Linked DNA regions of Elephas maximus indicus. The protein of the gene in region 2 interacts with the protein of the main gene of each other region in a pairwise test. Links are inferred from orthologs where the notes say so. Each region holds a gene or a part of one and is shown on either strand. Other genes may lie near its edges. The genes, in order: PAK1IP1, MEOX2, TRIM41 and CHIC2.

Evidence for each region.
Region 1: the proteins of MEOX2 (region 2) and PAK1IP1 interact in a two-hybrid assay, tested with the Homo sapiens proteins (2 studies listed by BioGRID). The two-hybrid records come from large-scale screens. The link is inferred for Elephas maximus indicus from reciprocal best matches to the Homo sapiens genes MEOX2 and PAK1IP1.
Region 3: the proteins of MEOX2 (region 2) and TRIM41 interact in binary tests that used the Homo sapiens proteins (3 or more experiments, as listed by UniProt). The two-hybrid records come from large-scale screens. The link is inferred for Elephas maximus indicus from reciprocal best matches to the Homo sapiens genes MEOX2 and TRIM41.
Region 4: the proteins of MEOX2 (region 2) and CHIC2 interact in binary tests that used the Homo sapiens proteins (3 or more experiments, as listed by UniProt). The two-hybrid records come from large-scale screens. The link is inferred for Elephas maximus indicus from reciprocal best matches to the Homo sapiens genes MEOX2 and CHIC2.

The regions. Positions count from the first base shown.
Region 1 is NC_064819.1:54,151,069-54,158,998, reverse strand, and holds the start of PAK1IP1 (p21-activated protein kinase-interacting protein 1), read right to left. Parts: upstream 3,010-7,930; 5' UTR 2,890-3,009; coding exon 2,806-2,889; intron 412-2,805; coding exon 246-411; intron 1-245. UniProt on the Homo sapiens protein: Negatively regulates the PAK1 kinase. PAK1 is a member of the PAK kinase family, which has been shown to play a positive role in the regulation of signaling pathways involving MAPK8 and RELA.
Region 2 is NC_064826.1:76,480,162-76,487,172, forward strand, and holds the start of MEOX2 (homeobox protein MOX-2), read right to left. Parts: upstream 3,016-7,011; 5' UTR 2,729-3,015; coding exon 2,215-2,728; intron 1-2,214. UniProt on the Homo sapiens protein: Mesodermal transcription factor that plays a key role in somitogenesis and somitogenesis and limb muscle differentiation. Required during limb development for normal appendicular muscle formation and for the normal regulation of myogenic genes.
Region 3 is NC_064820.1:199,954,009-199,960,984, forward strand, and holds the start of TRIM41 (E3 ubiquitin-protein ligase TRIM41), read right to left. Parts: upstream 3,022-6,976; 5' UTR 2,722-3,021; coding exon 1,909-2,721; intron 1-1,908.
Region 4 is NC_064823.1:107,538,609-107,545,890, reverse strand, and holds the start of CHIC2 (cysteine-rich hydrophobic domain-containing protein 2), read right to left. Parts: upstream 3,017-7,282; 5' UTR 2,634-3,016; coding exon 2,515-2,633; intron 1-2,514.

The DNA.
Region 1 (7,930 bases), on a different chromosome or scaffold from region 2:
CAGATGTAATTTTAAGGATCCTTTAGGTAAGCCCCCACCCCAGCCCTCCCTGACTAAGTTAAGCATTTCCTTACATCTCCCAAGGCAGACTGTAAGCAACTTGAAAGCAAGGGACCAAGTTTTTCATCTGTATGTCCTGTAGCACAGGATCTGCTCCATAATACTGGCTTAATGAACTGTTTGCCTAAAAGCACATTGTAAAATACAGTGCCCCCATATTATCTTAAACAATACAGCTGTCTTACCATTGTGATGCACCAGAGCCCCATGCTCTATCTTCTTTTTCATGTCGTAGATGTGAATTGTTTCATCTTTACTCCCAGTGACTACAAAACGACTATTCACAGCCACGGCTGACAAGGAAGCAGTGTGGGCATGGTGAGTGAAGTCAGCCACAGCGGTCCATTTCTGCTGAAGAGTAAAACCTACCATCAGTGCCACAGTCACATCCAAGTACTCCAGAGACAGATAAACGGTTCCACAATCTGTGAAAACTACCAATGGATATCACCAATGGAGAAGAAACTACACAATAATATGTAGATCGAAAAAAAAAAAAAAATCACCTGAGAATGGAATAAGGAAGGCAAGTGGAAGGTGAGACAGGAATGCCAGGTATCATGACTCCAGGACACGGTCATGAAGACTGGACTAGAGGGACTTTTAAAGTTCCCTCCAAATCTTTAACTCCTTACATATTTACTTACATGTGAGACTTCTGTATCATTCTTTCACTCAAATATTTAAATTCTGACTTGAATTTATTGATTCAAATACCGAATGCCTAGGGTTGCTATGAGTCAGAATTGACAGCAACAGGTTTGGTTTTTTTGGTTTTATCAGAACTCGGCTGCTAACCCAAAGGTTGACAGTTCAAATCCATCAGCCACTCCTTGGAAACTCTAAAGTACAGTTCTACTCTGGCCTATAAGGTCACCATGAGTCGGAATCAACTGGACGGCAACGGGTTTTGGCATTATTTTAAGCAGTTGTTGTTGTTTGGTGCCATCGAGTCACTTCTTACTTGAGATATAGCAGTAAACAAAGAAGACCAAAGTCCCTAACCTAATGGAGCTTTCTTTCCATTAGGCAGACAATAAACAAATACAGAACAAGTTTATAAAGAAAAACTAACAGGGTAAGATGTTTGCATTAGTACCAATATAAGCTGTGAAGAATCACCAACGATTACACTCACTGCCATGTAACTTCTGGATTTCACAGTGTGATTGCATCAGTGCAAAGAATGACAGCAGAATACACAAACAGTATGCCTTACATTAAAGGAGACACACCAAGAAATATCAGCCAAAAAACAAACAAGTAAACCCAAGAAAGAAAACAACAACAAACTTCTTTGAATACACAGGTTAAGATGTGTTACTGCAAATAAATCCCTAATTAAAAGCAACAGATGGTCCTCCATAATTTTGCACAAAGGCACAACTTTCTTGAGGGGCTGCTACACCCAGAAATCAAAGAATAACTCCTGCCTGTACACATTATGAAAGCAATGTTGATTGTTTAGGCAATTGTCTGTCTAGATTTAGAAGCAGTGGGTAATGAAGGTGGCTTGGTGGCACAGTGGTTAAGCACTCCACTGCTAATGAAAGGTTGGCAGTTTGAACCCATCAGCCACTGTGCAGGAGAAAAATGTGACAGCTTTCTTCTGTAAAGATTCCAGCCTTAGAAACCCTGTGGGGCAATTCTACTCTGTCCTATAGAGGCACACAACAACATCGGATAATGGTTAAGAGCTTCAAGAGTCAAAGACATCTGGGGACTTATTTGCAGCCTGGCATTAAGCAGATCTTATCTAAACTTCAGGTTCCTCATCTGTAAAACGAGGATAACTCTACCTTCCTTAGAGATTTGCTATGAGGACTATTATATGTCTGGAACATTGTAAACAAATTTATTACAAAGAACCTACAATTAATAGCATCATCTTTGACTATTTAGACATGTCACCTTTAAGCAACCGCCAAAAACTGATTTATACTAGACTAGAAAACAAAATAAACAAAAGCCGTTAGTCAAGTCATATACTTCCAGTTTTCTGGTTAGGTCCAGACTGACACCTTAGTTAACGATAAACATGAAATAGGTTTCTAACAGATACCTAGGATTACTTAAAGGAAAAGGAAAAGAATAGTACCAGCTAGAAATTAGGAGAGTAATTTCTAATCCCGGGCATGTCCTACCTGTTTGACTACTGGCAATTCATTTAACATTTTTATTCATAATCTGGTAACATAATTACTTCCGTCTCCCCAGTCCTTCACCATTATGGAGGGGATGTCTTCAGGATTCATATCTTCCCCATCTTTGCACCTCCACTGCCTAGCCCACAGTAAGTGCTCAACGAATAATCCAACGAATTGGTGTCATTTTATTTTGAGTTTATCTTGACCCAGCTCTAATACGTTGTACAATTCCAGAACAAAAACTGAACTGAATGAGCGAACTGTTCATTAAATTCTGAAGAGCTAAACCGCGGTCTGCTTATGGGAGCAACCCTTAAACCCACAATCTACGACTCATTTGCCCGCGTTCAGAAATGCCAGATTCCTTCCTTTACTGTGGGCATTTTCTCTAATCTAATAGATATGATCATTTTTATGAAATGCCTACTGCAGGTTTTAAAAGGCTAACTTTTTATTTAAGTTTCTGAGTCTGATTCACCAATTAATCCACAGACATCAGACGACAAACATCAGGTGCCCAAATGTTTACCTCTGCCACGTGGGAACCAACCTGACCCCTCCCCCGCCTCCGGCGGCCCCTCCAGGAGTCGGCTCTCACCTCGAGGTCGCCGCTCGCCTGGGGCTCCCGGTGCACAGCGAACCCAAAAAGGACCTGCTCGTAGCAACCAGCGACCAGCTCCATTCAACAGCGCACGTGTCTCTTCAAAGAGCCCTGTACAGCGTAAAGGAGTGTACCGCGCTCTGCCCAAGAGGAGCAGGGGCTTTCCTTCGTCGGCGCGCAAATTATACGTCACGGCCATGGGGCTGCCTTTTAGGCGCCTGCAGCCGTGAAAAGTTTCAGCGCTCGGAGATGACGCAGGTTTTCCAAGAAAAGAAGAGGAGACAACGTCACGTGAGGATATGGTTCTTATTGTAAAAAGAAAAAAATTGGGGTACGCAGACATATTCTAGGAAACTGGCGTAGTGGTTAACTGCTACGGCTGCTAACCAAAGGGTTGGCAGTTGACATCCACCAGCCGCTCCTTGGAAACTCTATGAGGCAGTTCTACTCTGTCCTATAGGGTCGCTGTGAGTCGGAATCGACTCCACGGCACTGGCTTTTTTGGTTCGTGAGCTAGGTGCGTCCGAGGGAAGCGGGGCAGGACGTTCTCTGCGGAGGCCCCTCATTTCCCTGACGTTCTCAGGCAGGAGCAGGGCCAACTTCCGGCCTAAAGCGGGAGGAGGCTGTCGCGGCGGCCTAGTGTGGCGGATGCGGTGTTGTGGGCTGTGATACAGGTGAAGGGGAGTTAGGTTTCGTTTTTGTGCAGGAAGCAACGGGACGAGCCTCTCTCTCACACACACATTCTCTCGTAGGAGGACAAGGAGGTTTGGGATTTAGGTTTCGCAGTCACCGGAGTCGGCGGACTTTAGGGCCAGGTGTGCAAAACTGAAGTCCGGGCTCTGCAAGTCCGCTTCCCGGACTCCCGTCTGCGCGGGCCACGCAGTCCCGCACAGCACAATTTTCCTTCCACCTTGGTTCTTGGAGCTGACTCTCAGATCGGACCTGGGACCTGTAGGGTTGGGGCACATTATAGGGAGGAGGACGCACCACGTGGGAGGTATAATAAAAACTGACTGACTTAACAGAAGGGGAACATTCCAGAAGGAACGTCACCGGTTAGGGGCAAAATCAAACGGTAAATATTGCCTTTTACGTTGGAGGTTTTCATACGGTATGGAGATTTAGGGATGTATTAGAAACTATAAGTTTTACACACTTCCGATAGAGTAAATTGCTCCCTTAATTTCGGCTCATTTCGACCCCATGTATGCGGAGTAAAACTGTGCTCCAGCGGTTTTCAGTGGCTGATTTTTTGGAAGTAGATTGCTCGGCCTTACTTTTGAGGTGCCTCTGGATGGGTTTGAACCTCTAACCCTTTGGTTAGTAGTCCAGCGCGTAAATAGTTGCGCCGCCCAGGGACGCATAATTAGTTTTCATAAATGCCATTGCAGGTCGACTTGGAAAGCAGGTGTTAGATGCATACTTGGATGTCAAATCTTCAACCCCGTTTGAAATGTAATGCAATCCTTTTAGCACTTCAGACCTTTTTTGCTGCCAAGAACGTTTGTTCTCTGATATTGTGAATTGTCAGTATCAGAAAAGAAGAAAAACCAAACCCGTTGCGGTGGAGTTGATTGCAACACATAGCCATCCTGTACAACAGAGTAGAACTGCCCCATAGGGTTTTCTAGGAGTGGCTGGTGGATTGGAACTAATGACCTTTTGGTTAGCAGCCGAGCTCTTAACCTGTGCATCGCCAGGGATCAATTAAAACAATTATGTGCTGATAATTCGGAGTCCTATAGGGTCACTATGAGTTGGAATCAACTCCACCGCAACCCATTTGGTTGTATTGTTGTTTTAATTGATACTGGTTTGGGTCTTTGTCAGAATGACTTCACTGGATGCTTTGATGGGCTGTCATTGCAACTCCAGGAAGGCCATGTCTTCTATCAGCTGTGGCAGCTCCATAAGTAATAGTCTGTCCTCAGAACCTGAAATGCTATAGCCCATCTGGTTCTCAGTCTCTTGAGAATTATAATCCCCTCACTTTGTTTGTGCTAGTTATATTCACTATGTTACAAAAAGTCACATTATCTTATTTAAGTTGTTTTTTAATTTATTGTTTCTTAACTATTTCCACCAAAGTACTACTAAAGTCAAAGTGTGAATTCCTGGGGGGGAGTCTGTTGGTCATGCACCAAAGGAGTAAGTAGAAAATCTTTTTGTCTCATTTTATCTTAAAAAATATGATTATTTCATTTTACTCCATGACATATGTGTTCATATTTAATGCAAAATAATCTGCCATCCAAAAAGAAAAACAACTTTGAATAAAACTGATGTTTACAAATCACATGCTTTGTATATTCTGTTGGATGCCCATGTACTCTGCCTCATCCTCCCAAGGAAATCTGATCTGTTGCTTGGAAAGTAAACTCGTTGCCGTCGAGTGGATTCCGACTTCTAGTGACCCTACAGGACAGAGTACGGATTTCAGAGAGTGGCTGGTGGATTTGAACTGCTGACCTTTTGGTTAGCAGCCGAGCTCTTAACCACTGTATCACCAGTGGCCCTTTGGAAAGTACAGCAATAGTTAAATGTATATATTCTGAAATTAATTTCTAATCTAACATTCTACAGCATAATTACTATATTCAGTATCTGTCACCAGAGTGTCACACTTAACACCTGCTCCAGTATTTGTCAGATTTCAGAGAAGAACCTTATGGTTTGAAAAGCCTTTTGCTCTAATCAGGAATCTTTTAGAATATGTATTAGTGGGTTTTAGAATGAAATCCAGAGTCAAAGCAACATAGGCATAACTCTGTGGTTTTGTTTATTCTTTTTACTTTTAGAAATGAGTGGAACTAATTGTAGAGCTCAGAAGGACCTTAGAGAGCGTGTCTGGCCCACGTGTTCTTAATCTGCAGGATTTATGGCTAGGTTTTAGAGACTTTAAATCCGTGAAGTGACATGCAAAACTGTGTATGTGGATTTTGGGAGGAAAGCATTGGTAAAATTTAAGTAAATTTTCAAAAAGATTAAGCCCAAAACCAAACCCACTGCTGTCGAGTCAATTCCGACTCATAGCAACCCTACAGAACAGGGTAGAACTGCCCCATAAAGTTTCCAAGGAGCACCTGGTGGATTTGAACTGCAGACATTTTGTTTAGCAGCCATAGCACTTAACCACTACGCCACCAGGGTTTCCAAAGGGATTAGTGGCTCATAAAGGCAGAATGCACTAATCCAACATTAACTTGCAAATAATGAAATGTCGAGAATGGTTGGGCTTGAAGATTCTCTTTAACAGAGAAGGAAGGAGCAGCATTCCATTTTATTCATTGCCATGGCAGTAGTTTCATAACTTGCTCAGGTCACAGTTTCTCATTGTCTGGAGAAAAATACACCATGCAAGATTATACACCTGTCCAACTGGATTGGAGTGGAGCATACTTCCTGTAAAACCTTTGTTCTGTTCTCTCTCCAAACACAGGATGTAAAAAGCCATTTAATCTTATCCTTGTGAAAACTACAGTTGCCAAGAAACAACCAATTGTTCAGAGTTCATTAATCAACACATTTTGCACAGCAGCATTGTTTTGTTTTTTTTGCTTTTAAGTTATTGACTGAAAAGCTTTTTGCACTTACCCATGCATTGATATACTCATTCCAACATTTATTCAGTGCCAGGCTTTGTTTGGCTTGCTGAAGAAAATAAAAACACAGCCAGTTTTTCTTTTTAGGGGGTGGTGGTAAGTCTCTGGGTGGTGCAAATGGTTAAGTGCTGGGCTACTAACTGAAAGGTTTGAACTCACTTAAAGGCATCTCAGAAGAAAGGCCTGGCAATCTACTTTGAAAGGTCACAGCCATAAAACCCTGTGGACCGCAGTTTTACTCTGACACATATGAGGCTGCCATGACTTGGAATTGACTCGATGGCAACTTGTTTACTTTTGGTGGTAAGGTGGGTATCCTGGGCTAACAGCAGAAAACAGTAGAGGGAAAACTGGCTCTGTTAGCAGCGCTGTGAAAATCGACTATTCCTGTTCAGTTATACTTCTTGATGTGGCAGGTAGCATATCTGCTAGGCTGTAGGGGTTCAGGAGTTGCATAAGGTTGTACTCCCCAGAGGGCTTTGGTCCCATTTGTACTTAGAGCCAAGGAGATGCAGAGATAGTGGTCTCCTTCCCCTGGATGCCGTCTGTCCTGATACAAACTTGCTTCACTTGCTTCATCGGAATAATCCAGGTGAGAGGAGAAGTTTGTATTTGGGGCTTTCAGAGAGGGAAATATTTATGTCAGTGTCATCTACAGAGCCCCTGAATGTTCATCTTTATCTGCGGAACCTTGGGGATGGTCTTATGCACCCCAGCTCTTGCCAGCTATCTGTCTGTGTGGTTTCAACATGATACTTGGGCCTTTCCCTTCCTTAGCCTCCTATCACCTCATTATCAGTGATCAACTTCCACATACCCTTCCAACTACAGCCTCATCTCCCACTCATTCATAGTCAAAATTCTGGTTTTCTTTGTACAAAATAAAGTCAGTCCTAAAATGAGGAGAAGAAAAAAAAAACTACGTTTTTACAAAAAGATTGCTTAAGTCTTAAGTCCCTTAATTGATGTTTTATTTGATGTCTAAACCGCTACAGTAGTTAGGAATCATGTTAAGCAAAACATCTGTTCCTTAAATAAAAGAAGTCTGAGGCGGCAATCTAGTGCTGATAATAGGGACTCCACAATTATCAAGTACTCGGATGCCTTCTCTCTTTCAGATCCAGTAATCTCATGCATGACTTCCTCCTGATGTCACCTCATAGTCCAAGATAAAAAAAATAACTGCAGTTATTTTAGCTCCAGCCATCACATCTGTATTCTCAGCACTAGGACTGGAGAAAGGGTGGAGGACAAAAAAGGCTTCTTTAGCTGAGCAAACTCCCTTTATGCAGTCTTCCTGAAGCCCCTTAGAACAGTTCTGTTTACATCTTATTAGTCAGACTTTGGCCACTTGGCTACCTCTAGCTGCAGGGCGGGGGGAGCTGGGAAATGTAGTCCTTTAGCTGGGCCTGTTACATCAAAGTAGCCTTGGAGATGCAGTGGTTAAAAGCTTGCAGCGTTTGAAAACCAACAGCTGCTCCCCCCCCCGCCCCCACCAAACCTCCCCTCAAGAGAAACGT
Region 2 (7,011 bases):
GAAATTGGCAATTTAAATTTTATTTTTAATGAATATACATATGTTTAATCAGAAACTATTGCGATATTCCTTTTAGTCAAAAATCCTTTCAAAATATCCCATCAAAGAAAAACTCACTCTAAGTCTCCAGTGAACCTACCCTTGGTGATGACTAAAAGTATTTCCCAATCAAGTTATGTTCTATTAATAGTTTGTGCAGCTGACAAACTTTTCTTTGTTTTTCCATAACTCTAGTAATTAGCGTCAATCTGTAAGAATAGACTTCGTTATGTGATTAGCTTCCGACAAGAGGGGGGGAGCTGGAGTAGCACTATTGGCCAAGGAGCTTCAAAAAGTTTTTATTAAAATAATTTAACACAACCAGCTTTTAGATCCCACTTTCTCTATTTCCGCCAACCAAAATAACATGTATCTGTATGAAAAGGCAGTTTGTCCTAAGGAACTTAGGTGCATTGGTTCAGTTCAGTCAGTGTAAGGAATAATCCCTCACATAGATTTTTCATTGCAGAGAGTAAAATGAACGGTAAGAGCTTCTGGTAGTTGTAAAAGTAGACTGACCAATCTGAACTGGGATCTGCTTTCCCAAAGTTACACTGTCAAATGCTCAGTCTATAAAAACGTTACTGTATTCCAAAAGGACCTTTTTTTTTTTCCTTTTCCTAATGAAGATGTAAACCTTCCTGCAAGATTAGCCTTTTAACTCACTGTCTTGAGAGTTTCACTTACACTAAGTAAAATCCATTAAAAATGAGTGACTTAGCTGGTAACTCTTAGATATAAACTACTTTGGTATGAAAAATCAGAAATTCACTCCTGACCTTGAAAAGTAAAAGTTAGGTTTTGAGATTGTGACAGAAGGCTGTAGTCCATACCAGCCCTGAAGATTGATACTATTGCTGCTAAGGAAATGAAATCCGCGGCTCAGTCATTGTCATTTATGTAGGATCTTATCTAAAGCTTTATAAAGAATAAACATTTTCAAAGCTTGAAACCATTACCTAGGATTACCTTCTGAAACTATTAAACCAATTTCGCAAAGGAAGATAAATATGCAAATACATTAAACAAGTGACACTTTCCAAAAAGATGGAACCCAGGTCGCGCCGCAGCTGCAGAAGAAAACTCAAAAATGCAACTATTAAGTATCATTCAGCAATTTCGTAAGATACAGATAGGTAAGGGCTTTTAAGAGCTCTCTGGAAAAGTCTGTTTCTCAGAATTACTAAAATTTACTTGGCAAGCTGTGCCGTAAGCACCGGAGTTGAGGAAGGCTCCTCTTTTGCGTGGCTACTCAAGTTATCTCCATAAAATTCAGTGGTTCCTGCGCTCACCCTCACATATGAGCTTCAGGCACGCAGCAAACCAAAACTACCGGAGTTGCTTTTTTGCCTCACAGTAATTGTCCCCAGATAATACCCAATTAGAGGAGTATTTTATGTTCCACTTTTGCAACTCAACGTTTTCTCTTTAGATGAGTACCCAGAGAAGGCGAACTACTATTAAGAATTCTCTTTCTTGAAGAGTTTGAACATCTACTTATTTCTTTACAATTCTCTGACACATTGCTTAAAATCCTCGGAATTCCTAGATACTGTCTTTCTCCTCAAGGAAGATAATTTTTTTTTTTTTTTTTTTTTTACCATTTGGAAAAAAGTGCTATTTAAAGAACTCTGAAATAAGAATTTAGAAAAAAAAACTAGAACTTTTTTTTCTCATGCGCTCTGCCAAATTCCACTGCAAGTTCCAAATATTGTGCAATAATTTGGAAATCGAGTTAACGATGGGAAAAATCGAGCAACTCCGAGTCGGGAACTTACAAAGGAGAAGTCAAGGAGTGGCACCCGCACGCACACGGCGGCGGAGACAGCATCCCCTGGCGCACCTCCCTCCCCACCCCTCGGGCGGAAGGACAAGCTTCGCAATCTATTTCAGTAATGTCACTTGTCCTTTTTTCTCAACCCTCTGATGAACTAGTATGGGACCTTGGAGCGCTTAAAGCTGCTGGCTGCACTTGTTTTGCCCACAGAAAAACTCGTGCACCCCATAACACAACCAAAACGGCCCCGTTGAATTAGTCTACGGAGAACCAGAAAGGGCAAACAGGTCCCATTTTTCCTGTTGCCTCATTGTATTGCCAGAATCTTCCCTGGCATCTCTCCGCCTCCTTTCCAGCCCCGTGCACACTCTCGCCGAGGGTGTCCCGCGCGCCCTTACCTGAGCTGTCGCTTTTCCTCTTGCCGGCACTTCTCTTCTCCGCCTCCGCGGGCGACAGCGCTTGGCGTCCGTAGTCTCCTGGCGCGCACGTAGCTCCTGTCGGGGTGCTAGAGCCCAAGCTAGAAGAATTGGAACACAGGACCGGCGGGCTGCTCCCCAGCTCCGGCGGGCCTCCAGAGTCCGGCTGGAGGCAGAGGCTGTGCCGAGCCGCAGTCGGGGGAGAGGACATCTGCGGGAGGTGCCAGTTGGTTTGCAGAGCCTGGTGCTGCTGCTGCTGGTGGTGATGGTGGTGGTGATGGTGGTGGTGGTGGTGACCCCTGTGATGCTGGCTGGCAAACATGCCCTCCTCGTTGGGGTATCCCGCGATTATGCAAGACGAGGAAGAAGTGGAGAGCTCGGGATAGGACATGTGGTCAGATCTTCCATGGAGGGCGAGAGAGGACTGGGAAAACGGGTGCAAGCCTTGCGCAGTGGCGTGGGGGCTGCGCAGGCAGCCAAAGAGCGGGTGTTCCATAGCATGCAAGTCTCAGGTTCCAGACAGAAGATTTCACGAAGGTTCCAAAAGCCACCAAGCTCTGTCAGTTTTCACTGGAAACTGTGACTTCCCCACCCCCCTCCCACAGCAATAGCCGCGCGTTTCTGCAGAGCTGGGATAATCCCGGTCCTGAGCCTTAGCGGCCAGTCTCCTTTACATATAAACACTCGGACCTGGAGGAGCTTTCCACTGAGCTACTCAGATGTCAAGAGGAGGAGAGGTTGAAGCCAAAAGAAGGTGGTCCCAGAGAACTGCTTTCAGGGGAAAACTGCTCTGAGAGGTTATAAATAGAGTGTAATGTGAGCTGGGGGCTGGCTTAGGAGCCCAGCGCTGACCACATGCAAACTCCCTCCAAAACCCTCGTTCAGTCTGCGCTGCGCGCTCGGAGTTTCACTTCCTATTCCGCGCTGGGCGGACGCAGTGCTTCTAAACCCGTCACAACCTTGCTAGACGCCAAAGTTGCAAGCGGTGCTCCTGGCGCCTAGGTCGCAGCCTGGGCCGGCAGTGCTCTTCCCTGCGGCTCAATCGGCAAAGACGCGCGGCGGCGCATCGCAGCCCCAACCCAGCACCCAGTTTTCAACTAGCTCACTTCTCTCAGGAAACATGTTTTGTCAAAGCCACTTGGGAACTGTCACCTGCAGGAAACGCACGGAAGGGCCAATAACATAGAGAAAAAAGATCAGCGGTAGTTTGGCGCGCGCTCCGAGGCGTCAGTTTTTCAAACTTCGAAAGTTCCTGCGCCCTGGGCGCAGCAGCGCTCCCAGCCTTGTGCCGCTGGTGTCTGTGGGCGGGTTGTTAATAGGCTCCAAATCCGAGGTTGCAGGGATGTTCACGCGAACGGGAAACGGCAGCTCTCTGTGCTCAAAGGAGAAGGACCTGGTGGGGTGGGTGAGAGGAATGCGTGAGGCGGGTAGAGTTGCAGATACCCAGGTCTTGGCATCCTCACCTGCGATGCCAGGTGGGGTTTCCCTCCCCCCCCCCCCCCGCCCTCCGCAAACGCTACCCGTACCCGTTCCTGGTCCCGCTCAATTTCCTGGTCACTTTTTTTTACCCACCAAGGAGAACTTTTCCTGGGTCAGGAATATTACAAAGTGCTCTCTTCTCGATCACATGAAATGTGTAGATGGCACGCACATTTCCCCTCAGGAGCCCTAGTCCCTTCATTTCCCTCCAGCAATCCACTCTCTTCCGTTCAAACATAAATCAGTTGCTCGCATCCCCCCATGGGTCCATTTACACTCCCCACACTCACCCCAAGTTTACTAAATTTGGGGGCTTTGGGCCTCCCTAGTAACAATTTTGCATCCTCCCCCCTCAAAAAAAAATTAGAAAACTTGCCACCGGTAACTACCAGCGAGAGAGGGCTGTACTCGATTTTCTTTCCAAGAAGGGGCAGGCGCTGCCTTTGATACTGCCACTTGCTTGGGGGCGACCCTGTCTGCTAGGGGCAAAGTCATTTACACACGACAAACGAACCGCGCGTAATGAGCTGCAGGAACGGCCGGGTCTTGCCTGCGACGTGTCGCATCAGGAGAATATCTGCGGTCACCTATCCCTCCCGTGGCCCCCGAATGCGCCACCAGCAGCGTCGCGCCATTATTTTCATTGTCTCAGGTGTCCAGAGGACGGTGATCAGGTCTTTGAAGTTGTTAATGGAATTAATGGAGACAGCAAACTGGGCCAGCCATCTGGTTTGAATTAGGAAAAAGTATTGATTAACCTTTGAGCGGTGTCCCCAAGGCAGAACTTTCCTCTCGCCCAGTCTCTCCAGCCTCAGCCTGATTCTCTCTAGCTTTTGCTTTTAAGTTCTATTACAGTGTGGTGGCTTCGCAATAAACCTTTACATCCGTGTGAAAGATCGAATTATTTTCCATTACTGAGAGGATGGGGTGGGGGTAATCAGGAATTCTGAGATTTGTAAGCGCTGCTTTCTTTAACGGAAATTGAGCCCTATTTTGAGGAAAATTAGTTTTGCAGACTTCGTTTAAAAAAAAAAAAAAAAAAACCTAAAACTTTTGTTCACCAGCTGCTCCGCTTTTTCAGTCTTGGTCTGAGCTGGAACCTGCTGCAAGCGTTTGACGGTAAGACTTTCTTTGCCGATATTTTGGGAATCTAACATTGTTTTAGACTTCGAAAGAGAGTGTTCTTCAGGTTGCACGTTTTTAGGGGTTTTAAGTATTCATAGGACGGGAGCCAGAGCTTAGATCTTAAGAATATTTCTTCCTGCCACTCCCCACGCCTTTGGTTTTTTAAGAGTAAAAAAAGGAAGGGTATATTCTTTCAATATCGAAGGAATATTTTTTGAATTTTCATTTTGTTTATCGTTTCAATATGTGCTCTGATATTAAAAGTTGAAGTACAAAGAGCAATACTAAAGGTCCCAAACTCGGGTTCTGGGTAAAATTATTAAAGGGTTTATCCAAATAGAAATTTAGGCAACTTTTTACCTCAATAAACAGTAGCCAGAAATATTTACATAATGTAATATTGGCAGTGGGTTTAATATTGTCTACTAAACTGTAGAAAATATCAGACAAGATTGACTAAAGACACACTTGATTTGTAGACCCCAATAAAAAGATATCCATAACGGTCCTTTTGGTTTCTATTACAGTGATAGAGAAGGAGCTAAGCCATTGAAAAAAGAATGGATTTGAATTTAATCAGTGTGTTGCAGGTAACTAGCAACTAGCCACGCAAACTTTTCATCTCCAGGAGCTGCCATTTCTCCTTGAACCTGCCTGGTGACTGGACTGGATTTTTTCTCACTTCGCTGTGTCAGATGTTAACAACATATCCAGAAGTTTCTCTACAACCTGCCTTAGTCAGTCAGCCTCTGGAACTGTGGGGCCAAGAGTCTGGGAAGAAAAATTTAGTAAAGGTTAGAAAGAGAGAGGGAGTGTCTTCCAAAGGCATGCAATTAACACAAAGCTAGCAAGAAAGGTCTTCTTAATGGAAGACACAGAACATTTAATACCAGTAACAATTGTAAGTCCCAATTTTCAGTTGAAAGCGTTATATAAGGAAAATGTTATTTGAAAGTGAAAAGAAGTATAATGCAAAGAAAGGAGTCAAAAAGGGGGTTTTTAGAATATATGGGTGCATTTTGGAATTATATATGCTTTTTTTAAATTTCAGTTTTCAAATATGTATGTGTTATTTCATACATCGGTTTTAATATTCTAATTTCTTAGATATTTGGAATATCTAAGATAGAATATTGGGTTTTATTCTCTAGGCCATAGAGAATTTTTTTTTAAACGTATAGTAACAACAGGAAAAAATCCCTAGCATTTCCTGTAATGACTACTTCAGTGTCCACATTTATAAAATCCAATGTTGAAAGATGCCTTTTAACTTCTAATGGCTAGCTATATCATGAAGAATGATAATAATTAAATATTTATCGTAAGATTTCTATAACAATTATTTTAAACTATATATGGAACGTGCAGTAGTCTATATTTACAATATCCTTCAACTTTTCCTGAAAAGCATGCTGTGTTAATGACAATATTTCATACAAAGTTTAATACCAAGTGGCACATTATAAAGGGGCTCAATGTATGAAAAAAGTAACCTGCTCAGCTCTTGTAGGAAACATTGTCAAAATAATTTTAAACATGTGTTAGACTCTTTAAAGTTTGTAAGTGTATGTATCTATTGTTCCCTCTGCTTAAATGAAATCATATTAAATAATAAAGGGAAAGATAGTTTTGATTAGCACTATTTTAAGGAAAATAGAACTCATATTAAGCAATCTGCAAGTTTTGTATTTAAACTTTATCTTGAGATTTATTATGATTCTTATAAGAGTTGCCGTTCTCCTGTATGCTTGTGATGTGAGGTGTGATAAAAATAAAAACATTTAAAATAAAATATGATGTTTATCAACAGATACAAAACTCTACTTTGCATTTCACCTGATAGACAAATGTTTGCCTTGGTAACATATAACCAGATGAATTTGCGTGTGAGTAATTATATTGAAACGGAAATTTGTCTCTGAAAGTTTTGTTGAAGATGGAAACATTGTATCTCTAATATTTCCCTAAGAAATAACATTAATGCCTTTCAGTTGGTCTTTCTGGAAAAAAAAAATTGAAAATATGTACAAATATCCTAAATATGCTGTGATGATTTCTGTGATTTATGATATACTATATTTTACAAAACTGAGGAATTAGCTTCCTCCAGGAGCCTATATTATAAAATTTAAAGAAATAATTTGCTTTTGGTTAACTCCTGTTGTTTAGTGATTC
Region 3 (6,976 bases), on a different chromosome or scaffold from region 2:
TACTGAGGTGCTACTGGATGGGTTCGAACCACCAACCTTTAGGCTAAGAGTTGAATGCTTAACTGTTTATACCACCCATGGACTCCCTTCAGGGCCTAAAACAGGATTTTCAGGCAGCTGGCATTTGGTAGATGTGACCAATACAAATAAAATCCAGTTTCAGAAGGTCCTTAGAGGAGTCCTGCAGGAGAGTGGAGGAAAGGAGGTGGAATGCCCACGGAGAGTCTATCCCTGGTTCCAGTTAACGGAGTGACTGCACATTGTGTGACTGGTACAGTTAACTAGGAACTGAGGGGATATAAAAAGACAACGGGTGTTCATAACCTCCCATAAGGATACACGGGTAAAAGGCAGGTGATGTTAACCAATGCAGTGATTCCTAAACTGGGCTGGGCTCTCCTAAGAATTCTCCCCACACCAATTCAGAATCTCTAATGGTAGGACCCACTGTACTTTTGAAAAGTTCCCCTAGGAATTATGAGAGTTAGCCAGGTTTGACAATCACTCCTTGAAAGGAATAGTTAGTGATAAAGGGATATAGGTCTTAGCCGTACATACTCAGAGCTGAGAAGCCCTAGACATGTTACTCTAAAATTGACATAACAACAACAACGAACCTAACTTGAGGTGACTGTAGGAATCAGGAGAAGGTGTGAAAACACAAGTCAGAGCAAAACAGCACCGCACAGACCACAAAGAAGTAGCCACCCTCTCCTTCTCCTGGTCCTGCTGCTTTCAACCCATCCAGGCTTTGGCTTAGTAGTATTTACAAACAAATCTCCTTCACCTATGTCCAAGAAGAGTCAAGATCAGAAGAAGGGGGCAAGATATTACCCAAACCAGAATCGGTCTCCAAAGAGGAAGGTCACATGTCAGAAATGTCAAACTAACAACAGACATCCAAATGGTGGTAACAGCTTCTAATGGATCGGGGGGCAGGGGAGTCATAACCAAATCCATTTATTAGTAGCTCTGTGGTCCTGTATACATTACACCTTTCTGGTTCTGTCTCCCAATCTGTAAAACGGGAATGAAAACATACCAAAATCACAGTTTTTTAAGCTTTAAATAAGAAAGTCCAGGAAAAGCGTTTAGTAGAGTACCTGGTATACACAGTAAGTGTTCGATAAATAAATTAAAAAACCCAGTAAATATTAACTATTAATCCTGACTTGATGGCACCTAACAACAACAGCAATCATGGAGAAATTAAAGTTCAAAAGATTCAGAGACTTGCCCAACACTTGACGGCAAATAAGTGGCAGAACCAGGTCATCTAACTTAAAAAGCTTCTCTCTTTTTTCTGTATGTTACAAAAAGTAAGAAGTTCTGGTCAGTATATCAGACTGCTGCAGATCCTACAAAAGTTCTCAAGGGGAGAACCAAACCAAATCATGGGGTGGGTAGGGAACTCCAGTCAGGAGACAAGTGGGGGGCACCTGTCATTTTTACGCTCTGCTTCAGAGCCCAAATTATTGTTCTCTGAGAGTCCCCATCTCTTGGGGTCTCCGTCAAAGACAGGCTTAAGATTTACCCAGAGGAAGTGGAGACTAGTATTAAAGCACTAGGGGCCTGTCACCTGCACTCCTACACTTAGGGACAGTGGAAGAGTGAAACAGTAGTGGCCTGCTCTACGGGAGATGCAGCCCAGTAATCTGGCATCATCAGCTTTGCCTTATATCCTTTGAGGAGGCCAGTCTTCGCTGGTCTTCTTTGCTGTATCTCCTTTGTCGGTGTACAGGACCCTTCTGACCCTACCCCACCTGGGTGCCAGTAAGTAAATGCTCACATAAGGAGAATCAGCTCACCAGTACATGAGGTTCTTGGGGGGGAAAGACGCTTCCATTTCCCAGCTCCCCTTACTTTCTCTCCACCCCCACTAAATTCCCATCTTCTCTCTTCTCTCACCTTGTACTCCTGCACCACCTCCTCCAATGGCACCACGCTGTGCTGTTTGTGGCTCCTGGATTCTCGGCACACTACACAGATGGCCTCTTCGTCCACTTCACAGAAGAGTTTCAGGGCTTCTTGGTGTTTGGGGCAGATGCCCTGCTCGTTCCCACGACTCGCTCGACCAGGGGCTGGGTGCATCTGCCGAATCACTTGGACCATGTTGGCTAGCTGCAAGTTCGGACGGAAGCTCCGCCGGGGAAAGCTCTTTCGGCACTGGGGGCAAGTGAAGCACCTCCGAGGGGCAGGAGGCGGAGGCAGTGGGGTGACGGGATCTAGCTCCTCTTCCTCATCCTCCTCCAGTACCTCCTCCTCGTCCTCCTCATCCTCCCCCCTCAGGTCCTCCTCCATGTTCCCCAAGTAGTAGTCCAGGTCTTCCTCCTCGTCCTCCTCCTCCCACACGTAGTCCATGTTGTCCCAGTTAGACCCGCCCATGCCATTGGTCCAGAACACTCCCTCTTCTTCCTCCTCGACCTCCTCCTCCATATCGCCCTCATAGTCTTCGTCCCGCATGGGGGTGTCCCACCCCCCGCCGGCTCCCACAGCCTCCACTTCTTCCTCGTCTCCGTCCTCCTCCTCCTCCTCCTCCCGGTCTAACTCGTCCCTGTCCTCTTCATCCTCCCCGCCCCACAACTGGGTTACACACACTCGGCAGAAGTTGTGCCCGCAGCCGATGGACACGGGGTCCGTGAAGTAATCGAGGCAGATGGCGCACACCGCCTCCTCCTGAAGGGTCTGCACAGGGTTGGGTGTCATGGCAACGGCAGCCATCTTAGCGTCCAGTCAGCCAGTTTAGATGTACGGTGGGGGCGGGGAGGGGGGCGGGGGGTCTTCCCTCTCAGACGCCCTGGCGACCCGGCCCCACCCCCAGCCCTGCCTCTCCACAGCTCGCTTCAAGTGCCGCCTGAGAAATGTTCTTCTGACAACCCACCCCTCCACACAGAGCTCCCTACTCCCAGACGACAACCGTGTCTCTGCGTGGGCAAGGGAAAAAGCTGAACGCTATCGCCAACTCCCTCAGGTGGCCCTGAGTGCAAATCCACCCCAACGCTTCCCTGGCCTCCTCATAAACCCCCGCCCCTCCTCACTTCCTGGCCCCGCCCCCTCACTTCCGATTTCTCACCCAACACTTCCGGCGTCTACGCGCCAGACAGGCTCGTGAGTTTCCCCCCCCTTCCCCGGTCCCTGGGCGACAGGAAACGGCGAGGAGACGCTCTAGCGGGCACTCGGGAACAGGGCGGGAGGGATAGGACATAGGAGCCCTACATCTCTGTGATGCGGCGGGGTGCGGAACGCAGAGCAAAAGCCCCGCCCTTCCCCTCCTCAGTCACTGGAGAGAAACTTGGGAGAACGGTGGGAGTACTTGGCGGCTGTCCGCTCTCGGTGCCATGACCGAATCGGCCGGGCGCCCCCCTACCGGCCGAGTACAAATGACACCCGGGCCTCAGCGCTGCCGGTGCCGGAAGCAGAGGGGCGGGGCTTCCTTGAGCGCTCTGCAGCGCTTCGGCCCTTCTAGGCGGAGGACTTTGTTGTTCGAGCGCTCAGATTTCCTCGGTGATGGATCAGGGGGCGGAGCCAGAGACACCCTACCACTATAGTTGGCCTTGTCAAAAACCTCAATTGTTTACAGAAACATGAAAAATTAGCGTAACGGAATATATTTATTGAGTAGATACTATTCCACTCAGGCAGCGGTCACCCGAACGTGTTGGGAAGACTCTCCGAGAGGAGACTGTGAAAGCGGGTTATAAAGGTCAATGTTATGTTAATTTATCAAGAGATAACATCAAGCACAGGGCAGGTTACAGAAACAGTCAACAAGGACATGCCATATATTCTAAAACAGCCTTTAGCCAGACCCTGGAACTTCTGCATTTCGAAGCTGAATGCACAATGCCTAAGGCCAATGTCTCTGCTAAGCGGCATACTGAACTCGTTTGACCTGAAGGTGACTCCAGGGAACCAGTTCTTTAAAGGTTCAAAAGAACACCTAAGGGCTGATGGCCTGGGTGGGTCACCCCACTTCCATGAACCCAGAAATCTGGATTTCAGGAGAATCAAAACGATTTTGTCAGCATCTTCCATGCCCATTTTAGAGATTGTTGCCTGATCACTGTAGCCTCCTGTAGGTGAACTTCCCTAACTCCCATCCGTAAAGGGATGGTGACAGATCTTCACACGAGGAGCTCTGGAGTCGCAGTGGTTAAGACCTCCACTGCTAATCAAAAGGTGGGCAGTTCAAATCTACCAGCTGCTCCTTGGAAACCCTGTGGCCGCTCTAACCAATAGGGTCACGCTGAATGGTAATCGACTCTACCCAATGGGTCTGGCTTTTGGTATATCCACACAGTGGAACACTATCTGTAAAATGCAAATCCATCTTCAAGATTTATTAAGTGAAAAAAGCAAGATACAGGCAATGTCCGGGCTATGAACGAGATTCCTTCCAAAAGTGTGCCTTTAAGTCAAACTCGTAGGTAAGCTGGAACAGGTGCATATGTTTCTTATTTAGCCTTCAGTGCAAGAAAAGTCTCGATGCCTTTTCAGTGATTTAAAAGTTGCCTGTGCAGCAAGTGAAGGTGATTGTGATGAAAAATTTGTTGCAAGTAGCAAGCAGTTGGTTCAATCATTTAAAAGTAAAGACAAATTTACATAAAGGGCAGGTACCAGTTGTCCATAAGTCTGACATCAGTAATCTCGGGACTTACTGCACAGTGTGTAGAGTATGTCCTCATCTGTAAAAAAGAGGAATATGTTTCAAAGATGTATTTGATATTTGCACATTCCTGCGCTTCAGTTTACTCATGCAAAATGAGGATAATAGTACCTACCTCAGAGGTTTGTGAGAATCAGAGCAAATATGTAAACCGACAGAACAGTGCTAAGCACATAGTAAGCGAGATACATTAGCTACGCATTACTTATCCTTTTCATCAATGTCTCTGCAAAGATACTGGCAGCCGAGTTCTGCTGAGAAGGCAACGGAATGGCCAAGGGTCACGAGTAGGAAAGACACTTTCCCTGTATCTTTCTGTCTTCTTTGAATTTTGAACCAAGTGAATGCATTACCTTAAAAAAATGAAAATACAAAACTTTCTAAATGCCATCGATTAATTCAACTAATACTTTCCGAGCTGTGCACCACACATATTCTGCTCACAGAAAGCCTCAAGGTTTGTCTTCTTGGTGCCCTCGTCTACGAACAGGGCCTCGGACTGGGTTTGTGGAATTGATTTTACTTGAGGCAATTCTGTCCAGGCTGTGGAATTGTAGTAGTAAAGATGCCGCTGTGGTACCCAACATCACTACTAAGTGGATTTCATGTGTGATAGCAGTAGTTCTAGATGCTTTGTTTAAACTTCTTGTAATTAACAGCAATAACAAAAACCTGTGAGCCAAGTTCCTGCCCATAATGTTCCCGGTGGTGCAGTTGTTAAGTGCTCGGCTCCTAACCGAAAGGTCAGCTCTGAGACAGAAAGATGTGGCAATAACCTCCAGTAAAGATTTTTTAAAAAATGCGAATCACCCTATAGGACGGAGTAGAACTGCCCCGTGGAGTTTCCAAGGCTGTAATCTTTACAGAAGGGCACTGCCACCTCTTTTCTCCCACTGACCTGCTGGTTGGTTCGAACTCCGGTTAGCAGCCGAGCGCTTAACCACTGCACCACCAGGACTCCTTCCACAAAACGTTACAGCCTTGGAAACCTTATCGGACAGTTCTACTCTGTCCTCTGGGGTCGCTATGAGTCGGAATGGACTGAATGGCAATGGGTAATGTATGTGCAGAATTGCCAGCGAGTGCCAAATGCTGAGCGGTACCAGGGCACCACATCCAGAGTTTACCCCTTTTTTTTTGGAGACACTTTTCGCCTCGTGAGGAACTCCAGAAGAACAGGAGGTTCCGAAGTGGGTGGTCCGGGGACTCTGAGCGGCTGACCCAAGGCGCGAAAAGCCACGAACCCGGCGGTTCGCAGAGTGCGCGCAGATGTGAGCTGAGCGGGCGCCCGCCCAGACGCACTGGCTTTAGCGCTAGAAGTCAGGCCACGGGACTTGAACACTGCGGAGTGGCAGTGCGACGCGCCTTTGCGGATTGCAGTCGCACTTAGAGCTGCCATTCTCTGCCACGTGTAGTTTGAGGATTGTATTAAGGATGTGCTGATAATCTGTGTTTTTGTAGTGTAGTGGCTATCACGTTCGCCTCACACGCGAAAAGTCCCCGGTTCGAAACCGGGCGGAAACAGCCTTTTCTGGTCTATTTTTCATTTCGATGCCCACGTCTTCACGGTTATCTCGTCTGCGGCTCGAGATAGGGGGAGGGTGCTGTCACATGGAGGCATATACAGACAGATGTGTGTATCTAATCTGTGTTTCAGGGAAACAGTAAAGCGCGATCACAGCAGAGCTGGGCTCACACCAGATCATAAATGTTCACAATGTCAATTCAGCTAAAAAAAATTTTTTTTTTTTTACTACTCTTGCCTTCGGAAGCCTGGGCCGCCACCTCCTCCGGATAAGGGCTGTAGGTTGTAGGCTTCGGATCCCCGGACCTTTGTGTCTAGGGCGCAGCCAGGCGCACAGTAAGTGATCCATGAATTCTTGTGCAATTAATTCTGCAAAACTCCTTGAAGTGTGTCCGCACGCCTGCTGTGTATCCCGGTTTCCTGAGGCCGAAGAAAAAGGGTTGCGGATGTTGTCAGACTATCTCAGTCGGTAGGGCACGAGACTCGTGAACTCACGGATTTGAGCCCCACATTGGGCGTGTATTCTCTTTTGAAAATGAAAATGGCTAAGGAATTTTTGTGCCAAAGAAGAGTCGGAGGGAGACTGAGTGGGCTTTGGCATCGTGGACTGGCGGTGTTCGCCGAAGCTTGGCCAGACAGGAGGTCGCCCAGGTACTGACTAGAAGACCTCGAGTTGGAAAACCCACAGCCGTAGGGCTTTGCTGACCATAGGTGAACGAGTAACTGGTGGGTATCAGCCGACCAACTCTTGGGGCTCTTCACCCTGGGTCACGGCTCCGCCTGCT
Region 4 (7,282 bases), on a different chromosome or scaffold from region 2:
GGTACATCTTATTCTTCGTAGCATGTACTACATACAATATTGCAGCACATAACTGCTAATATTATCATTCTTAAATTTTCACTTGCAGGTGTTCAAAGATTAGATTTATAAAGATAAGCCAAACCCACTGACGTCGAGTAGATTCGAACTCAGTGACCCCACAGGACAGGGTAGAACTGCCCCATAGGGTTTCTGAGGCTAATGTCTTTACAGGAGCAGATCACCACATCTTTATCCTGCAGGGCAGCTGGTAAGTTTGAACCGTTGAAGCCCAGTGCTTAACTACTATGCCACAAGGGGTCCTCATTTATAAACATACTGCTAATAAAAGGTAGGGAAACCCTGGTGGCACAGTGGTTAAGTGCTACAGCTGCTAACCCAAGGGTCAGCAGTTCAAATCCGCCAGGCGCTCCTTGGAAACTCTATGGGGCAGTTCTACTCTGTCCTATAGGGTCACTATGAGTCGGAATCAACTTGATGGCACTGGGTTTGGTCTTTGGTTTTTGGAATAAAAGACAACAATAATGAAAACTAAAAAAGAGAGAGAGAGATTTGACTTACATCAGAAATGACTTATGACAGAGTCGTCAGAACAGAACCCTGTTTTAAGTTGGGGACTGCCTATACAATCCGATTTACTGATCACCTATTTGGTTCTGAGCACTTCAGTCATTATATTTTCCATTTAGGCACCCAAAGTGTTTAGCTTTTCTTTACCTTTAACAAAGGAAAGAGTACAACTATGTTGATGTTGTTGGGTGCCATCGAGTCAATTCCGACTCATAGCGACCCAAGAGGACAGAGTAGAACTGCCCCATAGGGTTTCCAAGGAGTGGCTGGTAGATTCAAACTGCCAATCTTTTGGTTAGCAGCCTAGCTCTTAACCAGTGCACCGCCAGGTTTCCAGTACAACTATAGCTCCACCTTCTTAAATAACAAAATGTCACCAGATTTTCTTTGACACGAGGAATGTATAAGAACAAGGGGAAGAGTAGACAACATGAAAAAGTCTGAAAAATCCCTTCTTTAAGCACTCATTTACTCCTCAGGTTTAAAATAATGTAAAAAGACCTTAAGAGTTGAACTAAAAATTAAATGTCAGGTTATGAGACTAAAAAAGTTCTGCTATGTATGTTAACAAAAGGCTTAATATCCAGATTTGGTTATATGTATTAACTGCAACTGGTAATGAGAGTTAAAACAGTAACTGTTATTGTGGTGATAAATTCCATTGTCTTATGGTGCTGTGACAGCAATTACACAGTGTTTTACCCTGGTAAATCACGTGAATATAAACTAACAGGTGTTAAACAGACCAAAGCATTACATAAGCATACCCAAACAACAATATGACTAGTCATATTGTACACTGAAAAATGCAAGGATTTTGCTGAAAATCTTACATGAAAGTCTTTCTGTTGTTTCACTAAGTTATTCACAGCACATGCCACTCATCCTATACCAAAAATATAATGAAACTGCTCCAGATAGTCTCAGACTTGCTGGTCCTTCTATTTTACTAAAAAGGTAAAGCATATATGAAAGTTTGATCGATGATCTAAACAAAAGGCCTAAAATGACAACGTATAAATACTTCAAGTTGTACAAAACTCTGGACTTCTCACAGAAACATACAAAACTTCCTGCTTCCAGACAGCTCATTATTTGGTTCAAGTCTTCACATTCCTTTATTAGTCATGACTCTTCAGAAAGCTTTCATTCCCTATTGTTTGAATAATATTGGACTTTTACAATGTTGCTAGCCAGATTTACAAAAAACCTTATCAAATGAAGAAGCCATGCTAGGGTTCATGGCCCAAGAAGGGACTTAGATTACTGCGAATCCTCAGTAACCTGAACAGAGTGTGTCTATCATGTAGATTTTTAAAAAATTAGTTGTAAACGGTATATCTTTCTGCACATTTTAATTATACTTTCGTTATATATTGTATCATAAACAATTACAGGAACTTGCCATTAGTTCCGCAGAAACTAACTCTGAAAGAAACTGGGAAGACCTGGCGTATGTGTGAAAAACACAAACGAGAGTGAACCTCCATCCTGATGGTCACTGCAGTTTCCATGGCCCAGATCTGGCCTCCGGAACATATGTCACTAGTCTCAAAGGCAGAGAAGGAGAGACCCGCAGGGTAACTGGATGAGAAAACAAGGGAGGGGCACCTCGAAAATACGTGTACTTCACCCCAAAGCTGCAGGTAGCCCGCAGAGCAGATTCCGAAAGAAAAACCTTCGCTACTGGGATCCGTCACATTGCCCAGGCCTGTGGGGCCTGCTAAAAGGGGTGTGTGGGGCGAGGAAGGGCAGTGTCTGTCCCTACTTGGGAAACCCAAGCAAATGAAAATAAAGCAAGTTCTCACTTCCTGGTCGCCTTCTCTTGCCGAAGGCCCCCGACAGAAGCGGACACCGAGGGGGAAAGGGGCTCCCGAGGTGTAAGTGGGGCCCACCCATGGCCGGCACCTCCCGTCCTCGCCCTCACCCTCCTCCGGGCCTTACACGGTGACGTGACCGGAGCCGCGGACCACCACCGGGTCCGGAGAGTACTTGAGCAGCTGCTCCTCCAGGGCCCGCTCCTCGTCCTCCTCCTCCTCATAGATCTCGTCGAAATCCGCCATCCCGAGCCTCCGCGACCCCTGCCCAAAGGGGCCTGACTCAGGAGCTGGGGCGGGGGTCCGGGCTGGCGAGGCGGCGGAGGCTGAGGGGAGTTGCTGCCGCCGGCTCGGAGGCCGCGGAGTTCGCTCTAGGCTGTCTCTCGGCTCCGGCTACAGAGGAGATGGGGTCCCGGCCGTCGCCGCCGCCATTACCGTCAGCAATAACAACACCAACAATGTCAACATCCGCCCGCCCCGGGGCCGACACCTCCACCAACACCACCGCTGCCGCAACAGCAGCAGCAGCAACTCAGGCAACCACAGCAACAGCCCGAGCCACCCGCAGCGGGAGCAGCCGGCTACGACATCGCGAGACTTCCCGGGAGTGCGGGCAAGCGCGTGGGCGCAAGAGCGGGCTGGCGGGCGCGCGCACTTGGCAGCCTCGCGCGCTCCCAGGCCGCCTTCCTTCCTCCACTCCCACCGCAGACTCCGCCTCGGGCGCGCGCTCCCGCCAGCGCGGCCCCGCCCTCCTGCCCCGGGAAAGGGGCGGCTCTGGGGAATGGCAGCGAGACCTGTTACCCAGAACAGTGCGGAGCGTCCAGTGGAGCGTACAGTTCCCCAAAGTAGTCTCTAACCAAAACAAACAACGAAGAATAAAGCCCTGGTTGGAATTGGAAAATTTATCCCGCATATGATAGCCAGTTTATCTAATAATCTAATCTCTCTTTTCATCAGACTTTTCGGACTGTGAACCGGGGTCTGTATTTTCCCAATTTGAGGAGCCAAACAGACACAGTGCAAACATTTTTGTCCACTTTACTACAAGATTTTCCAACACATCTCCAAATTCATATATCTTGCCCTATTATCCCCTTAAATACAGTCCAACTTATGAGGCCAAGTCCCGAAATCTTCTTTCAAGAAAGATCACCGTAGTAGCGCCAGGAAATGAAATGGATAATAATTCTCTGGGTTCTAGATTCGAAGATGCAGTTTCCTGCCCCAACTCTCCCCCCCTCCCCATAATCAGTTTTCTTTCTTTAAAAGCTTAAAGAATTCCTTTCAACTCCCTCCACCCCCGCCCCGTCCTCCGCAAAAATAAAAAAGATTGATTTCCGTTTACCTGCCTAGACCTCTGGTCAAGGCGTTAGGGTCATCTCGGGTACTTGATCTCAGAGCCAAGAACTTGCCCAGGCAAACAAATACTGCAGGGGCAGGAGTGGACTTCTGAGGACAGAGTCCTGGATAGTGAGAACATACTGTGAGGGGAGGAAGGAAGAGTCCCACCCCACCCGGAATATTCCCCAGGTACTCTGTTCACATTAAGGTAGTTCACTTAAGATGCACCATTTGTTGAAGAGGAGATTGTGCAAAGGAGAGCAACGAGAACAGTGAGAAATGACAATCTCCTCTTGGGAATGGTTGAAGGAAATAAGCAGTCAGCCAAGAAAAGAAGGAAAAACACAGCAGGTGTACCAGACTTGTATCCCTCCCCAAAACGCATTTATTCATTCAGCAAATTTTACAGAGCTCCAGCTAATTGGCAGGCAATGTGCAAGTGTGTGAGCATGTGTATGAAGGAGGTACAGTCCCAGCCTTCCAGGAGTTTATTTACCTTTAAGGCAAGCAGTTATAATTCTCTACCAAGTGTTCCTAGTCAAGTGTACCCTTTGTAGTCTACTTGATTCTGACTCCTAGAGAAGTATACAGATGGTGTTAATGGTGCACACAGGAGGCAGCTTAGTCTGGTGGTTAACGCATTACTGCTTGGCTTTGCATTTCAGCTCTGCCTCTTACTATGTGACCCTGAGCAAGTCATTTAACCTCTCTCTTCCTCTTGTGTAAAATGAGGATAATAATAGTACCTACACGTCATGGATTGAATTATGTCCACCCAAAATGTGTGTCAACTTGCCTAGGCCATGATTCTCAGTATTGTGTGTTTTGTGACCTAAAGTAATTGTCCTATGTGTTGTAAATCCTAATCTCTGCCTGTGGTTCATGAGGCAAGATTAGATGATGTTAAAGAGGATTAGGGTGGGATGCAACACCCTTACTCAAGTCACAGCCCTGATCTGATGTAACGGGAGTTTCACTGTGGTGTAGCTTCCATCACCTTTTATTTTACAAGAGATAGAAGGTGAGAGAACTGAGCAGAGAAGGGGGGACCTACCACCACCAAGAAAGAAGAGCCGCGAGCGAAGCGAGTCCTTTGGACCCGGGGCCTATGCGCTGAGGACCTCCTAGACCCAGGGGAAGATTGATGAGGACCTTCCCCCACAGTGAAGAGAAAGAGAAAGCCTTCCCCTAGAGCCGGCACCCCAATTTTGGACTTCTGGCCTGAATAAATTTTAGTTTGTTAAAGCCACTTGTGGCATTTCTGGGATAGCAGCACTTGATAACTAAGACACTATGTCACAGGGTTGCTCTGAAGGTTAGATCCATTGCTGCCCAGCCGATTCCAACTCATGGCAACCCCGTGTGTTACAGAGTAGAACTGTTACATAGGGTGTTTTTAGCAGTAATCCTTACAGCTCGGAAGACAGGCCTGGGAGATTTGCTTCTGAAATGTCATAACCTTGAAAACCCTATGGAACACAGTTCTTCTCTGACACACACGGGATCCCCATGAGTTGGAATCGACTTAACAGCAACCAACAACAATAACAATAAGCTTTATAGAAGCAGATCACCAGGCCTTTCTTCCATGGCACTGCTGCATGGGTTCAAACCACCAACCTTTAGGTTACCAGCAAATCACAAACCACTTGTGCCACCCAGGGACTTGCTCTGAAGATTAAATGTCTTTATACATGTGAAGTGCTTAGAACAGTGCCCGGCACACAGGCGACATTGAACAAACTCTAAGGCCCCATCCAGAGTGCCCCCAGACTCTAGAAGGATCATTGCAATTTTTGTATTTGTATAGTGCTTTACGGAAACCCTGGTGGCTTTACAGTTTTTGATGCACATACATAATAAAACATGTAATATTCCCCCAAGAACTCTGTAAGGTAAGCAAGGAGAAATGTCATTTATTACTTAGTTTCAGAGGTGCTATGTGACTTACCCATATGACTATTTTTTTTTTTAGGACAATCATGTTAATTTAATGAATTTGAGGAAGTATGTTTCCACAAGTACATTGCCACAAGGAAATCATTTTCCAAACATGATACAAAGTATTTTACAGACTACATTTTATAAAATTATTATGACTGATATTTATTTATTATTTTTAATAATTTTTGTTGTTGAGAACATACACAGCAAAAACATACACCCAATTCAAGTTTGTACATGTACATTTCAGTGACACTGATGACATTCTTCGATCACATAATTATTTAATGATCAAACTCAGGGCTTCAACTCCAGCGCACTGGGTAAGCCAGACTCTGAATTTCCTTCTTGGCAGAAACTAGGAGGTAGTCTGCACTCAGTAGAAGGTGCAGCTGCAAACGGGAGGGTAGGAAGAAAGAACAAGAGGAAGGAAGGTCAGCATGGTCCTAGCCAGCCCGCATTCCGTGTGCTGTGGCTGTGAATTTACCTTTCTGCAGAAACAGTGGCCAAGGTAAGAGGCTGGCACCCCAAAGTATCTAAATCATCACGTAGCTGACAACTCCTCAAGGGCAGAGGAAGTCATGCACAGCTACGTAAATCTCCAGCGCTCTCCACAGTTCCTGCTTCAGAACTCAATAAATGTTATCTGAATTGAGATATATTATTACTAGTGCTATTTCCAGAATATCATGAGTTCCTTAGGCTTCAGAGGACTGTGTGAACCTCACCCTTATCTTAATACCAGTTCAATGTGGGAGAAATGTTCTTTTTCTAAGATCTATTCAACAGAGAAATCTTTGTAACTCCCACGGCCTGAGTGTAAGGTAGGGCTGCCTTATTTTTGCTCTTCCTATTTTGCTCTTCTGTTTCCTGCTCTGCAAAAAACCTGTCAGAGCCAGCAAAAAGGTGTGGGACCTGGTAACAAGGCTGAGAGGGTGAAGGAAGATGAGTCAAACATTTTCCTGATGACAATTGACATCAGAACTCCAAGCTCCATGCCCGACCTCCTAGAATCAGGTTTCCTGTCAAACTCCTTCCCCCAATCACTTGTGGAATGAACCACAGTTTTTCAGTATCTTTTCCCTCTGTCAGGTGCTCTCCTGTTCCCTGCTAAGGGCCCATCCCTGCATGGACATCTCTTCTTTTGAGTTCCCCTTTATACTCCTGCCTCACGCACTTTCACATTTACCTCCAGAGCAGATGGCTCAAACGGAAACCGGATAAAAAGAACCAAAAAAAAAAAAAAACCCAGTTGGCATCCAGTCAGTTCCAACTCATGGCAACCCCCTATGTGTCAGAGTAGAACTGTGCTCCATGGGGTTTTTTTGTTTGTTTGTTTTCAAACAATTTTTATTGAGCTTTAAGTGAACGTTTACAAATCAAGTCAGCCTGTCACATATAAGCTTATATACACCTTTCTCCATACTCCCACTCATTCTCCCCCTAATGATTCAGCCCTTCCAGTCTCTCCTTTCGTGACAATTTTGCCAGTTTCTAACCCTCTCTACCCTCCTATCTCCCCTCCAGACAGGAGATGCCAACACAGTCTCAAGTGTCCACCCGATACAAGTAGCTCACTCTTCATCAGCCTCTCTCTCCTACCCATTGTC